3 linked regions of the Macaca fascicularis genome follow. The protein of the gene in region 1 interacts with the protein of each later gene in a pairwise test. Links are inferred from orthologs where the notes say so. Each region holds a gene or a part of one and is shown in the gene's direction. Other genes may lie near its edges.

The links.
Region 2: the proteins of ALAS1 (region 1) and DUSP19 interact in a two-hybrid assay, tested with the Homo sapiens proteins (3 studies listed by BioGRID and IntAct). The two-hybrid records come from large-scale screens. The link is inferred for Macaca fascicularis from reciprocal best matches to the Homo sapiens genes ALAS1 and DUSP19.
Region 3: the proteins of ALAS1 (region 1) and ZMAT1 interact in a two-hybrid assay, tested with the Homo sapiens proteins (2 studies listed by BioGRID). The two-hybrid records come from large-scale screens. The link is inferred for Macaca fascicularis from reciprocal best matches to the Homo sapiens genes ALAS1 and ZMAT1.

Annotation. Positions count from the first base shown.
Region 1 is NC_088376.1:115,284,477-115,289,383, forward strand, and holds the end of ALAS1 (5-aminolevulinate synthase, non-specific, mitochondrial), read left to right. Parts: intron 1-1,768; coding exon 1,769-2,037; intron 2,038-2,742; coding exon 2,743-2,905; intron 2,906-4,462; coding exon 4,463-4,623; 3' UTR 4,624-4,753; downstream 4,754-4,907.
Region 2 is NC_088386.1:78,639,128-78,644,034, forward strand, and holds part of DUSP19 (dual specificity protein phosphatase 19), read left to right. Parts: intron 1-2,673; coding exon 2,674-2,826; intron 2,827-4,907.
Region 3 is NC_088395.1:108,508,115-108,513,514, reverse strand, and holds the start of ZMAT1 (zinc finger matrin-type protein 1), read left to right. Parts: upstream 1-1,868; 5' UTR 1,869-1,887; coding exon 1,888-2,425; intron 2,426-5,400.

The DNA of each region.
Region 1 (4,907 bases):
TGGGCTCTTTGAAGGTATGGTGATTGTGAGATGGAAAAGGCTGGAGAGAGAAACTTTGTACTATAGGAGATTGAACCAACTTGGCTTTGCATGTGGTTTTAGCAAAAGCATTAATTATAGAATGTGATGTTAAGATCTATGAAGACTCTTCTGGAGTTCTTTTTGTTTTTTGAGATAGGCTCTCACTCTGTCGCCCAGGTGTGATCACAGCTCACTGCAGCCTCCACCTCCTGGGCTCAAGTGATCCTCCCACCTCAACCTCCTGAATAACTGAGACTACAGGTGTATGCTAGCATGCCTGGGTAGTTTTTGTATTTTTAGTAGAAATGGGGTTTCACCATGTTGGCCAGGCTGGTCTCTTAACTCCTGAGCTCAAGTGATCTGCGTACCTCGGCCTCCCAAAGTGCTGGGACTACAGGTGTGAGCCACGGCACCTGGCCTCTTCTGGAGTTTTTAATCCTGAAACTTGAGATGCAGATTATACAAAAGGACTCAGTGAGAATTGAAAACCAAGTCTGGCCCTAAATCAATCCTAACAGGCTCTGAGTTTTCATATTTGTCTAGCAAATGCATTAATTGTCCAGAGTTTTGTTCTTAACTAAGTAGGAAATAACACCAGTCACACCAAAACAGTTAACGCCTTAGCTGGGTAAAATTCCAGCCTCTGGGATAATGTTCGCAGTGGGAAGATGGTGCAAGCACTGCAGAGCCAGTCTTGTTCCAAAGAGCACATGCAGTGCAGACGTGGGGAGTGGAGCTGTGCTGGCTGTCAGAGCAGCAAGCCCGAGTGAGAAAGGGAAAGGAGAATGAGATGGTGGGAAGGGAGGCAGCAGCAGGGTATTTGGGCACACTGGGACCCACTGAGGTGTCAGGTCTGATTGGAAGACCTGCATTTTGATCCTGGTTAGACACCAGCTTGGCCATATGACTTTGGGCAAGACCCTTTTGTAACCTTCCTTAGCTTTTTTACCCTTTTAAAAATGAGTAGCCAGGCACAATAGCTCACACCTGTAATCCCAGCACTTTGGGAAGCTGAGACAGGAGGATCACTTAAGCCCAGGAGTTTGAGACCAGCCCTGGGCAACGAAGCGTGGACTCCTCTCTACACAAAATAAAAATTTAAAAAATTAGCCAGGCATGGTGATGTACACCTGTACCAGCTACTTGGGAGGCTGAGGTGGAAGGAATACTTGAGCCCAGGAGGTTGAGGCTGCAGAGAGCTATGATCATCCCACTGCACTCCAGCCTGGGTGACAGAGCAAGACCCTGTCTCTAAAAAAAAAAGGATGATTAGATATCCTTTTATAGTCATGCATTGTGTAACGATGGGAGATACATTCTGAGACTTGCATCACTAGGCAATTTCATCATTGTGCAAACACCATAGAGTGTACTTACATAAACCTAGATGGTATAGCCTACTGCACACCTAGGCTTTGTGGTATGGCCTGTTGCTCCTAGGCTGCAAACCTGTACAACATGTTACTGTATTGGATACTGTAGGCAACACCATGGTATTTGTGTATCTAAACATACCTAAACATAGAAAAGGTATAGTAAAAATACAGTATTATAATCTTATGAGACCATCATCATATATGTGGTCGTTATTGACTGAGACATCATTAATGTGGTGCATGACTACACCAATCAGTCCGGAAACAAATTAAGAAGATAAGGAGAAAAGTCAGTGCTTTGAGGCTCTACAACACCTTGCTATGTCCATTTAGAGGCTGTTGCTGTAATTAATGAAGCTGTCTCCTCCCAGGCAAAGCCTTTGGCTGTGTTGGAGGGTACATCGCCAGCACGAGTTCTCTGATTGACACGGTACGGTCCTATGCTGCTGGCTTCATCTTCACCACCTCTCTGCCACCCATGCTGCTGGCTGGAGCCCTGGAGTCTGTGCGGATCCTGAAGAGCGCTGAGGGACGGGCGCTTCGCCGCCAGCACCAGCGCAACGTTAAGCTCATGAGACAGATGCTAATGGATGCCGGCCTCCCTGTTGTCCACTGCCCCAGCCACATCATCCCTGTGCGGGTAATGGCGTGTCTCTGATTGGACTTGCTGTGGGCTGTGCCTCTACACATGATGTACGGATGTTCTGCTTCATACCTTCCTGAAGTTGGGCTTGAGCAGGGTGACTGCCAGGGAGGGATTGTAGCCAGCCACCCTCTGTCATGTTTCCGCCATTGGCTGACTTCACCATGAGAAGAAAGCCTTTGAACCCAGCAGGCTGGGGCAGAAGTTCCCTCTCCAGAGCACTGACCTTAACAGGGTAAACACAGAGCTTGTATCTGGAAAGCTCCAGAAGCCTGAGATTGGCCAGCTTTGAAGTATGGCTTTCTACTTAGTAAATTTCAAAATAGGTTTTGCCCTTCCCACTACAAATGGTAGCACTGTTGATGTCACAGTTGAATTAGTGTAATGAATACAGCTAGTATAACCGAATCTAGATTATACATCCTGGGTATGAGAGTCTGCTGGTACGAATGGAACCAGTGTTTTCTCATTAAAAATGTATTTCTTTTTAATAAGGTTTTGGTTCTCTGGTCTTCACAAAACAACACTGGCTCCTTTTAAATGACAGGTGTTTGGGCAGCGCTTTCCCTCTGCCCCAAGCTTGCATATGTTGCTACAGTCTGGTCTTGAGCCTGAGTGTTGTGGGGACTGTGTTCGTTAGAATCTCTGCTAAGAGGTAGTCCTTCCTGTTGTGACCTTACCTTCTGCTCTCATTGAACTTAGGTTGCAGATGCTGCTAAAAACACGGAAGTCTGTGATGAACTAATGAGCAGACATAACATCTATGTGCAAGCAATCAATTACCCTACCGTGCCCCGGGGAGAAGAGCTCCTACGGATCGCCCCTACCCCTCACCACACACCCCAGATGATGAACTACTTCCTTGGTGAGTACCTTTGCAGTGTTTATAATTGAAGCCCTTCAGAGGCATTCAGATTTGTTTCTTCTTCTTTTTTTAGGTTTTTTTTTTTTTTTTTTTGAGATGGAGTCTCACTCTTTTGCCCAGGCTGGAGTGCAGTGGCGTGATCTTGGCTCACTGCAAGCTCCGCCTTCCGGGTTCACGCCATTCTCCTGCCTCAGCCTCCTGAGTAGCTAGGAATACAGGCACCTGCCACCACGCCTGGCTAATTTTTTGTATTTTTGATAGAGACGGGGTTTCGTCATGTTAGCCAGGATGGTCTCGATCTCCTGACCTCGTGATTCGCCCGCCTCGGCCTCCCAAAGTGCTGGGATTACAGCTGTGAGCCACGGTGCCTGTTTCTTCTTTTTCCCAGTAACTAAGCATGCCCTCAAATGGTTCAAAACCCTAAACGATATTTATTGTCTGATTCACATCAAGAGGGTGGAGCGTCATTTTGGGAGCTCTGAGGGAGCCTGGGAGTCTGCTCAGTGTTCCCAGTGCCCCCTTGTCTACATGGCTGAAGGATACACGGTAATGACTTGCAGGGAGAAGAGGCCTCTGAAGGCTTGAGTCCCTGCTGGTCCCCCAGAGTCCAGCTCACATTTGTCTTCGCCACTGCCCTCTACTCCATGACGTTGTATAATCCTTGAATAACCCCACACGTAATCCCCTCTGATAAGAGGAATTGCTCAACATTTTCAACTGCCCCGTGCTTCTATACTGCCCCACCCATGTCCAACCTAAAGGCAGAGACAGAAGGGGGCTGTTAGCCACAGGTCACCTCTGCCTCAAAGGTACATTGCCCTCCCAAGCCCACCCAGCATGGCTCAGCTTCCTCATGGGCTCTCTGTTCTATTGGAAATGCTGGGTTTAAACTGTCATGTGGCAGTGTTGGAGCAGCTTCTTCCCTACAGGTCTGTGAAATCAAGCCCAACTCGGGGTTTTATTTTTCTCTTTATTTATTTTTATGAAAGCCTTAAAATTTTTATAAAAGCCTTATCTCAATAGAGAGATAACTCACATACCATAAAATTCACCCTTAAAAGTATCCAAGTCCATGATTTTTAAATACACTCCCAGTGTTATGCAACCATCTCTTCTATCTGATTCTAGAACATTTTCATCGCCTCAGAAGCCGGTGCCCATTAGGAGTCACTCCTCTTTTCCCCATCCCCAGCCCCTGTCAACCACGGGTCTTTCTGTCTCTGTGGATTTGCCTTTTCTGGACCTTGTGTCTAAGTGGAAGCATACGGCGTGTGCTCCTTTGTGTCTGCCTTCTTCCAGCATCATGTCTGCAAAGCTCATCCATGCTGTAGCATTCATCAGCACTTCATTTCTTTCTGTTATCAAATAACCTTCCATTGTACAGATTTACCACATTTTGTTTATCCATCTATTGGTGGACATTTGGTTGTTTCTCTTGTTAACTATTATGACTAATGCTGCTATGAACATTTGTGTATGAGTGTTTATGTGGACATATGTATTCATTTCTTTTGTGTATATTACTCCCTTTAATATTTAAAAACTGTTTCTCCTCAGAGAATCTGCTGGTCACGTGGAAGCAAGTGGGGCTGGAACTGAAGCCGCATTCCTCAGCTGAGTGCAACTTCTGCAGGAGGCCACTGCATTTTGAAGTGATGAGTGAAAGAGAGAAGTCCTATTTCTCAGGCTTGAGCAAGTTGGTATCTGCTCAGGCCTGAGCATGACCTCAGTTATTCCACTTAACCCCAGGCCATTATCATATCCAGATAGTCTTCAGAGTTGTCTTTATATGTGAATTAAGTTATATTAAATTTTAATCTATAGTAAAAACATAGTCCTGGAAATAAATTCTTGTTTAAGTGGTGGCTCTTTCTGCTATTGGCTACTGAATAAAATTCTTCATTGACTGGACACAGTGGCTCACACCTGTAATCACAATACTTGGGAGGCCAAAGCAAGAAGATCACTTGAGGCCAGAGTTTGAAGCTGCAGTGAGCCATGA
Region 2 (4,907 bases), on another chromosome or scaffold:
TGCTATGATTTTGCTACTGTACTCCAGACTGGGTGACAAAGCAAGACTCTATCTCAAAAAAAAAAAAAAAAAAAAGGGAAGAAAAGTGTTCACACAGAATAAAAGATATGTGTGAAGGCCAAGAAGCAAGAGAAAGGCTGATGCTTTCAGGGACAGAAAAGTTCAGTGGCCCTGGAATAGAGAGTGTGAGAAAGAAGGGCACTAAGAGACAAGACCAGAGAGAGAGGTAAGCATGAGCCAGATCCCAAAAGGCCATGTAAGCCAGAGTTAGTTGTTTGGACTTGATCCAAAAGACTGTGGAAAGCCACTGAGAAGTTACCCAGAGATGTAACAGGATCAAATTTGCAATTTAGAAAGATTTCTCATTAGAAGCAGTGTGGAAAATCCATTGGAGGGTTGCTCAAGTTAGAGATAGGGAAACTGGTTATAAAGCTATTGCAGTAATCTAAGGAAAAGATGACAATGGCTGAGATTAAGATGTAGTGGAGATAGAATTACATAGCTGTGAGGGGTATTTTAGGGGGTAGAATTCTTACAATTTGATTACTTATGAGGCAGGATAGGGAGTGGGGCTAAGGGAGAAGGAGGAGTCAAGGCTGATGTCTCACTTTCTTTGGTAACTAAGTAAGGTTATTGTTCCATGAGATTGAAAACAGCGTAGAAGGAACAGGCTTTGAAGGCAAAACTGTGTGCTTAGTTTTGAACGTGTTAGATTTTGGGTGATGTGGATCATCTAGGTGGGTAGATATGTAGGGTCTGAAGTTCAGAATAGAGGTGAATATACAGATTTAGGAATCTTCAGCTTTTAAATAGTTACTGAAATCATTAGAATAGATGAAGCTGCCTGGGGAAATGTATAAAGTAAGAGAGAAGAGGGCCTATAACAGAATCTTATCATAGAACTGATAAATTGAGGAATATCACCCTATATGGAATGATCAAAGGAAGAAGAGTCTGCAGTGGGAAAGGAGGATCCAAAAGAGGCCAAAAGAAGGTAAAACAAAAAGGTGGTGTCGTGGAAGCCAAAGAGAATAGTGTTTTAAGGAGGAGAGAGTCAGCAATGTCAGATACTGCAAAAGTTTAAGTACGATTAGGCCTAAATTATGTTCATGGGACTTGGTGACAGAGAGGTTGTTAGTGCATTTGGTGGAAACAGTTTCATTTGAATTGGAGGCCAAAGCCGTATTGCAAAAGATTGAGAAGTGAGGAAGTGATGGGAAGGGGAAAAGAAAGAGAGAGAGGAGCTATAGGTGAGGAGGGGGGATGGGAGAGCTTTCAGCATGTTTTAAGGCTGATGGTAGAAGAAGAAATTGAAGATACAGAAAAGCAAGAATTATGACTATAGGGAGATGCCAAGAAAGTAGGAAGCACTGTGACTCCAAGCACAGATTCTGGAATGAGCCTTATTGAAGATGCATGAGCACATCCTTCATTGTAATCAGAAGGCAGAGGGGAAGTACAGATGTGGACAAAGTTGTTAGTTTTTTTTTTTCTTTTTCTTTTTTCTTTTTCTTTTTTTTTTTTGAGATGGAGTCTCACTCTGTTGCTCAGGCTGGAGCACAGTTGCATGACCGTGGCTCACTGCAACCTTCACCTCCTGGGTTCAAGTGATTCTCAGCCTCTGGATTATCTTAATGGACTTTCTACATGGCTTTCTTCCACATGTTTGGTGGCCTCTAAGAAAAGGGGCTCAAATACATAGATGGAAGAGGAGGAGGTTGCTCAAATGTACCACCTGAAAGAAAATTTTTTACAACCACCCCTCCCCTTACTTTTCAGCCAGATTAGTTCATCAGAATCTCTGGGTATGAGACCCTGTGGTATTGATAGTTTTTAAGAGTTCATCAGGTGACTCTAATGTGCAGTCATCCTGGAGAACCATTTTATTAAGTAAAGAATATGAAGGAAAATAGGGAAATAATTCTTGAAAGGGAAGTTGTGTACTACTGATATACTTCTCCTATTTAAGTTTTTTATATGGATATTTACAGATTAATTCAACAAAGATTTTAAGCATTTTCTGCTAAACTCACTGCTCATTCGCTTATAACACTAAGTTAAACATGGTCCCTACCCTCATGTAGTTTCTAGTGCAATGAAAGAGACAAACAATCTCTAAGTGGTATGAGCTGTAATAGGGCAAGTCCAGGGCTATGAGAATATATAGGCCAGGTGTGGTGGCTCACGCCTGTAATCCCAGCACTGTGGGAGGCGGGAGTGGGAACGTCACTTGAGGCCAGGAGTTCAAGACCAGCCTGGGCAAAAAAAGCGAGACCCCTCTCTGAAAAAAAAAAAAATTAGCTGGGTGTGGTGGTACACTCCTGTAGTCCCAGCTACTTGGGCGGCTGAGGCGGGAGGATCACCTGAGCCCAGGAGTTCAAGATTGCAGTGACCTATGATTGCATCATTGCACTCCAGCCTGGGTGACAGAAAGAGACCCTGTCTCTACATGATGATAATAATAAGTTAAAAAAAAGGGTGGAGGGGAGAGAGAGAGAACATATAGTAGAAGGAGCACTTCTGGTGTGGGTTGAAGAAGTATTATCAATCAAGTGAGTCGCATTTAAATTTTTTACCTTTCTTGTTATAGATGTCAACACAACACCCCAGTCTCTTTTTAGATAACCTAATTCATGGGATTTTAAAAAATCATCTTTTTTCTTTCTCTTTAAGGTGACTCATATTCTTAATGTTGCATATGGAGTTGAAAATGCTTTCCTCAGTGACTTTACATATAAGAGCATTTCTATATTGGATCTGCCTGAAACCAACATCCTGTCTTATTTTCCAGAATGTTTTGAATTTATTGAAGAAGCAAAAAGAAAGGTGAGTTTTGTTTTGATCCATAGTTCTTCAGAAGCAGAAATTTGAAAGTATGGATCCATTACCCAATCTTTATTGTTTTTATAATGAATCTCTAAAAAACCATTATGAAATTTCCCTTCTAACAATGTTTCATTATTTCCTACAATTATTTGGTTAATTGCTCTTTTTTCAATAAGATACTTAGTTTTAACATTAATTCAGTTTCTCATTTTCCTATGCCTTACTGAGAAATGTTCAGAAATAAAAATCCTCTACTTACCGAGTTTTCGTCTGTAAACATGTAGCTAGATTTCCTTTGAGGGTTTATAGCCGCCTGACCTCTGACCAGTCCGCAAGATATTCAGGGGGACTATAAAACAGAGACTGCTCTAGACTTGTTAGTGTATTTATGATGATTAACATGCATTTCATTTTAATGAATGAGATAGTTATTGTGAAACTGCATTTTTAGCAGTAAAATTTTAAGGCACTCTAAGGACTAAATGTGTATTGCTTTACTTAGATTGTATGAAAATGCTGATCAGAAGCTGTCTGTTGGTTTTCTGAAGTTAGAAGACCAATGGCCAATGCCATATGGTACTTCAATCTTGTTATTGGATTCAAGTCAACATTCTGACAGGCAAAGTTTCTAGGTTGGCTGTTATCAATAATTATTCCTTGAAATAGCATCATTTTTAGTCAGCAAATAATTCTCACAGATTTTACGTAAGATACGTAGGTGGGAAAGTAGAAGCATTTACAGAGAGAAATAACTCTTCTGGAACACCTAACAATGACAAGATTACAATCAGGTTTAATTGAACTCTGGCCTACCTTCTCTCCCTTCTACCTTCTCTCCTTCCCATTTTCTCTCCCTCTCTCCCTTCTTTCCTTTCATTTGGTAATATTTATTGAATGCCTTAGGTGCCTAGCACTGTTCTACTTACCTTTCCACTAGACTACCTGGAAAATATAAAACTATTCCATTCTACTGTTCATCAACTTTAATAGCAGATACAGTCATGCGCTGCATAATGATGTTTGGACTGCATATATGATGGTGGTTCCATAAGATTATAATAATATATTTTTACCATACCTTTTCTATGTTTAGGTATGTTTAGATACACAAATACATACCATTGTGTTACAGTTGCCTACAAGTTAGTACAGTAACATGCTGAACAGGTCTGTAGCCTTGGAGCAATAGGCCATACCATTCTAGTTTGTGTGGGTCCACTCTGTGATGTTTACAGCACAAACAAACTGCCTAACAACACATTTCTCAGAATGCATCACCACTGTTAAATGATGCATGACTGTATTTGAATGGAAGCAAAGGAAGAGGGTTTTTGTTTGTTTGTTTTTTGTGGTTTTTCTTTTTTTTGAGACGGAGTCTCGCTCTGTCATGAGGCTGGAGTATGGTGGCATGATCTCGGCACACTGCAAACTCCAGCTCACTGCAACCTCCACTTCCCGGGTTCAAGTGATTCTCCTGCCTCAGCCTGCCAAGTAGCTGGGACTGCAGGTGCACACCACCACACCTGGCTAATTTTTTGTATTTTAGTAGAGACGGGGTTTCACTGTATTGCCCAGGCTGGTCTCGAACTCCTGAGCTCAGGCAGACTGCCCGCCAGGGCCTCCCAAAGTGCTAGGATTACAGGCGTGAGCCACCGCACGTGGCCAAGGAAGAGGTCTTCTAATTCAAAGCCTAATATTGGCCATTCTGTTTTCTTGTGAAAAAATTTACAGGCTCTGGATTGTAACATTCCAGTGTGTGAGTTAATAGTTTTAAAAATAAAAATGATATTTCTGTATTAGCTCCTTCTCTAAGGAGATGTAGAATATGCCAGAGATGGGAAAGTGTAGATGTCATCCATATTCATATTAACATTAGAAGAGATGTAAATATTGCAAGTAAAAATTAGACAGGGTAATACTATCTAGAAAGAAAAGCAAGAGATTGAATATTCTAATAAGTGTGGAATTTTAAATAAATTTAAAAATAAAGTTTGCCTTAATTTGGGCCAGTAAATTAGAGTGGATTTTAGCTTGGGTTTCCTAAAAACAAAGCTTGAGATGAGGATTTAGAGCTGATGCTT
Region 3 (5,400 bases), on another chromosome or scaffold:
ATGGTCCCAGGTTATTGAGAAGTACAAAGTATATAATTCATTACAATAAAAAAATGCACCAGATATAGGTGTAGCACAGAAGGTGAAATTAACTCTAAGGAAGGACAGAACAGGTTACCTGGTGAGGTGAGGTGTTGTCTGGGTTTCTAAGGGTGTATAGGATTTCATTAGGCAAGTGCTTAATGTGGGGAAAAAGGTGTTTCAGGAAGAGAGAACATATACAATAACATTACATCATGAAATAACATGGTCTTCTCAGGAATCTAAGAAGACTTAGGGATTGCTAAATCAGAGTAAAAGCAGAGGGGAGAGATGGGGACAGTGGAAAGAGATGAGGTCAAAGAGGTGAATGGGGATACTAATAGTGCAAAATTGTGTCTTTTGACTTTGTTCAATAAGCACTGGACAGCCAGTGATGACTGACAACATGGTAATAGATTGGAGGGATTGAGATCAGAGGAAAGAAGACCAGTGGGGTAGATGCCATACTGCTGACCATACATCATGAGTACTTGAAATGCAGCAATGGATTAAGACTGGAAAGGAGAAAATACTTAAGGGAGACTTGCACAAATGCACCAGGAGGTGTGCCCATCAATAAGGAAAAGGGTGAAACATTCTACAGCATCGACAGTGAATAACTACAGCTACAAGCAACAACACAGACAAATCTTAGAAACAGAATGTTGCGCGTGAAAGAAACAAGTTCCAGGCCAAGCATGGTGGCTCCTTCCTGTAATCCCAGCTACTCCAGAGGCTGAGGTGGGAGTATTGGTTGAGGGAAAAAAAAAACAGAAACAAGTCCCTGAATGCTACCTAGAAAAACATATAAATGTTTGTGGAAATAATCAAAACTAAACAACACTATTTAGGCACATATCTATGTGACAAGAATACATATTAAAATGCAAAGAAATAAGAAATATAAATCAGGATATTGGTTTCTTTGAGAGGGGAGGTTGGGGGACAAGATGTAATTTAAAATATCAGTAATATTCCAGTTCTTCTATTGGGTGCTGAATTCACAGGAATTTATTGTAATTAAGATGGGCAGATCGATAGATAAGCAGTCCTTTTAGAGGCCACGAAAACAATGTCAGGACGAAAGATTCTGTTCTATTCTCTGTACTAAGGGCTTTAAGAAAGCCAGGGGCTGGGCGTGGTGGCTCATGCCTGTAATCCCCAGCACTTTGGGAGGCCAAGGCAGGTGGATCACGAGGTCAGGAATTCAAAACTAGCTTGGCCAACATAGTGAAACCCCATCTCTACTAAAAATACAAAAATTAGCTGGGCATGGTGGCACATGCCCGTAATCCCAGCTACTCGGGAGACTGAGGCAAAATTGCTTGAACCGGGACCCGGGAGGCAGAGGTAGCAGTGAGTGAGGTCGCACCACTGCACTACAGCCTGGGCTACAGAGCAAGACTCTGCCTCAAAAAAAAAAAAAAAAAGAAAAGAAAAGAAAAAGAAAAAAGAAAGAAAATAAAAAGAAAAAAAAGCCAGGTGAAGATATATTGCAGAGATATTTTGGACGTAGAATCAATAGGTTTCCAGATATTTTTTACTCTTAAATTGGTTTTACATTAGCTCTCCAAAGAAGCCTCACTGTGTGAAGCCCACGTGCTTTTACATCCCGCGCTTTTTGCCCTTTGCCCTTGGCCGTCATTGCTTCCCCTCCAAAGGGAGGTGGGGTGACGCAAGGCAGTCGGGGCGGGGGAAACGGCCGGCGGCTCTAAAGCTCTCTGATTGGTGGACTGAGGAGCGAGAACGAGGCTCCAGCTGAAGCGTTGAAAAGAGGGACAAAGGGGGTGGGGCTAACGGAAGGCGGGGCTAAAGGAGCTTAACGGAATCGAGACGCAAGTGCAATTGTCCGCGCGCCTCGCTGCGATGGCCGCGGTGCCGAGCACAGTCACCCCGCTGGCGGCGGAGTCTTCCCCTCAGGAAGCTACCGTCTCTGCCGCCTCCTCCTCCTCCTACACCGCCTGCGAGGCGGCGGCGGCGGCGGCGGCGGCAGTAATTGTTCCTGCCTCCTCCGCCACCTCCGCCCCTGCCTGCCCGCCTGCCGGTGGCTGTGGCGACGGCGGCGGCGGCGGCTTTGGCTGCTCCACTATGGCGGCGGCGGGGAGGGGGGGCAGTAGTTTTAAAGTAGACACCCGCCCTTGCCTCAGAGAAGGTGAGTTCCCGTCCCGGGGTGCGGGGGCGGCCCCATCTCCTTCGCTGCCTCTCTTCAGCCCGTGCGAGATCGGGCTGGGCGCGGTTCGCCACTGCCCCACCCCCCACCTGCCGTGGCGCAGTAAAGGCCAAGCTCGCCCCGCCCCGCCCTGCCGTATTAGCCCCGAGTGTGCAAGATGGACTGAAGCAGAGAGGGCCTTCCCTACCTCTCCCACCTGTAAAGGATGGGGGACCCCAGGCAAAAGAATTGCAGGTACTCACGAAGCAGGAGTTTGAAGGGAAAAAAAATACCACATAATTTATCTCCCAGCCAGGACACCTTAGTGTGCTGTAGGAAGCTGAGGTGTGATTTGGAAGAGAAGGCAAAGTAGAAGTGCTGTGGGCCAAGAGGGTCAAGGATAAGGGAAGGGGGACCGATGGAGAAACGGGCGGAGATAAAAGAGGAAATGCCAAAGAAATAAGGGGGAGTAAACCCCCTTTTGGTGTTCAACGTCCTGTAGTGTAGAAACTTGAGGCAGAATATTTACAGAGAGATGGCGTTAGAAATTTGGGCAGGTTAGAAGTGTATAGGTTTAAAAGATCTGTCGGATTTTAGGAAGGTAAGGTCTGGTGGAGGGGACTCTACTAGGGAAAGAGGAAGAGTGTGACAGAAGTACAGATTTCAGGAATCACTTCGGAGAGTTTTCTTTGGCTATTTGAGAATGTGACCTGGTAAAGCAAGGTTTACAGGTCCATCTTTAAGGTGGTTTGACTTTTAATAAGTTCTGTTGTACCTACCAACACATATTACTCCTAACATAAAAAGATATTTCTTGACTGTATCAGTATAAGCGGTATTCACACAAAATTCTGTATACTTTTAAACAGCCTACTAATAGCAAACTGTAAAATTTGCCATTGAAATGTGTTTTAAAGCAGTTTGGGAAATGTTCTTAGCTGATGGAGACCATTCCACTGCAGAGCACCCCAGTAAAGCATTTTGCCATCGTAAATTTTGTAATTTCCAGAATTTGCTGTGTTACCTTATGTTGCTGACTTGCCTTCAAAGTGAAAGATTGTGGACACCAAAATAGAGGAAAATAAATTCCTTTTTCTTAGGAAGATACCCCATTAAAATTATTCCATAAAAATCTCTTCTTCACATTCTTCAATGATATGTCCCTGTGTGCTATTCCATAACCTTTTACACCTTTCGCTTTGGAGGAATGGCAAAGTAGGAAAAAAAAATCCCTTACAATATTTGTATAGGCACATTACATAAATGCCACTTATTAAATATGGAAGTTAGAAGTACACTGTAATGTTTTATTTATCAACTCTCTTACTAAAGTCAACCTTTGAAAGACTCCATTTAGTGTCTTCATTCATCCTCAGTGGATGGAAACACGAAATCTGGATTTTAAATTTTTATATCAACCTTTATGTCCATAACCAGCTAGTAGGCAAGAGCAGTTTTATATAGGCCTCAAGATCACAATTCAGTTTGGCTCTCATCGTCTGCTCACAGTAAGGTTTAAGACCAGTATCTCATGGAAAAAAAAAAAAAAAAAAAAATGGCTTTTTGCCTGGTGGTGTAACTGGTTTGTTTGCAGTATCTTTGAATATATGCAAATAGTAAAGGCTTTCAGAGAGCTAATTTCATAAAGTATGAGCAATACCTTACCTATATTATTGCGAGGCAGTAAAATGAGGAGCACCCTGGCATAGGAGTGTGATGCAGTTGACATAGGTTCAGCTGCTAATTAATTCACTGGACTTTGTGACCCTGAATAGGCCCCATGCCCCCTCGATTTGGGTTTTGACATTTTTGAAATAAGGGAATAAAACTACCCACACTCCGAGGGTTGGTTTCAGATCTGAAAGTATCAACCATGATTTTGCATTTCTGAATTGATATTCTTTCAATGACATTTCCATGGCTGTGCACTAGAACAATAACTCATAAATCGTAAGAAACCTGTTCTGATAGTTACCACCTGACATTCAGTGAATAATGAGATCTATGTTGAGTTAGTGTTGAGAAAATTTACTGGCATATGAAAAACCAAATATAATTGTTAACCTAAAAATTATCTCTTACCATTTCATTTTAGCTAAATGTCCTTCATTCACTATTCAGTCCAAACTACAATTCTCTCACCTTTTCACTTAACAAATGGCAAACATTTCATATATTGCACTGTTCCAAACACTATTAGGCCTCAAAATATTTTTGTTTATATGTATATAAAGGCCATAAATGGTTGTCAATTATGATGGTGGATAAAGGAGAAGAAAGGAAAATGTTACTTGATGGTGTACCAGTATCTTTTGCTTAAATCCTAGTTAAGAGATTGCTCTAAAAGATGTCAAAGAATTGTCAAGATTCAATTATTGCAAGTCCACTCCTTATAGGATGATTAAAAGTGGTTTGGAAAAGCATTTGCTGATCCATTTTGAACTGTAGCTGTTATTCTTGAGGATTTCATCTGTCTTGGGGTGAATAATGAACAAATGTCAGTGGACATTAGAAACTAGCAAATGGAATATTAGAAGCTTTCAAAGATTACAAATGGGACATTGAGCAGTAAAACTAGAAATAGAACAAAGAAAGAAAAGAAATGCCATATGAAAAGACACATATACACTCAGAATTCACAGTAAAGGGAATTATGAGATTTTGTGGGACACTTCATCTTTCATTTTTCAAAAATGTTTAATGGCTCAAAAATAAATTTTCACACAACAATAACATTCTGGTATATTCATAGTAAAAAAAATTCTTGCTTATTTACCTCTTCCTTTTAAGAAAAAATATATCAAATGCATCCTGTTTTAGATTGGAAGACCTTCTGGCTTTTTATTTAGCTATTAATCCGTTTGTGTAGCAATTACCTAACAAGACTATCATTTGTCTCCATACTATTCAGTAAAGTTTCAAGTCGAATGATAGTAAGTCCACCATAAGAAAATCCAGTGGGTAGGCTGGGCGTGGAGGCTCACACCTGTAATCCCAGCACTTTGGGAGGCCGAGGCGGGCAGATCACGAGGTCAGGAGATGGAGGCCATCCTGGCTAACACGGTGGAACCCCGTCTCTACTAAAAATACAAAAAATTAGCCGGGCATGGTGGCACATGCGTATAGTCCCAGCTACTCGGGAGACTGAGGCAGAAGAATCACTTGAAGCCGGGAGGCGGAGGTTGCAGTGAGCCGCGATCGCGCCGCTGAACTCCAGCCTGGGCAACAGA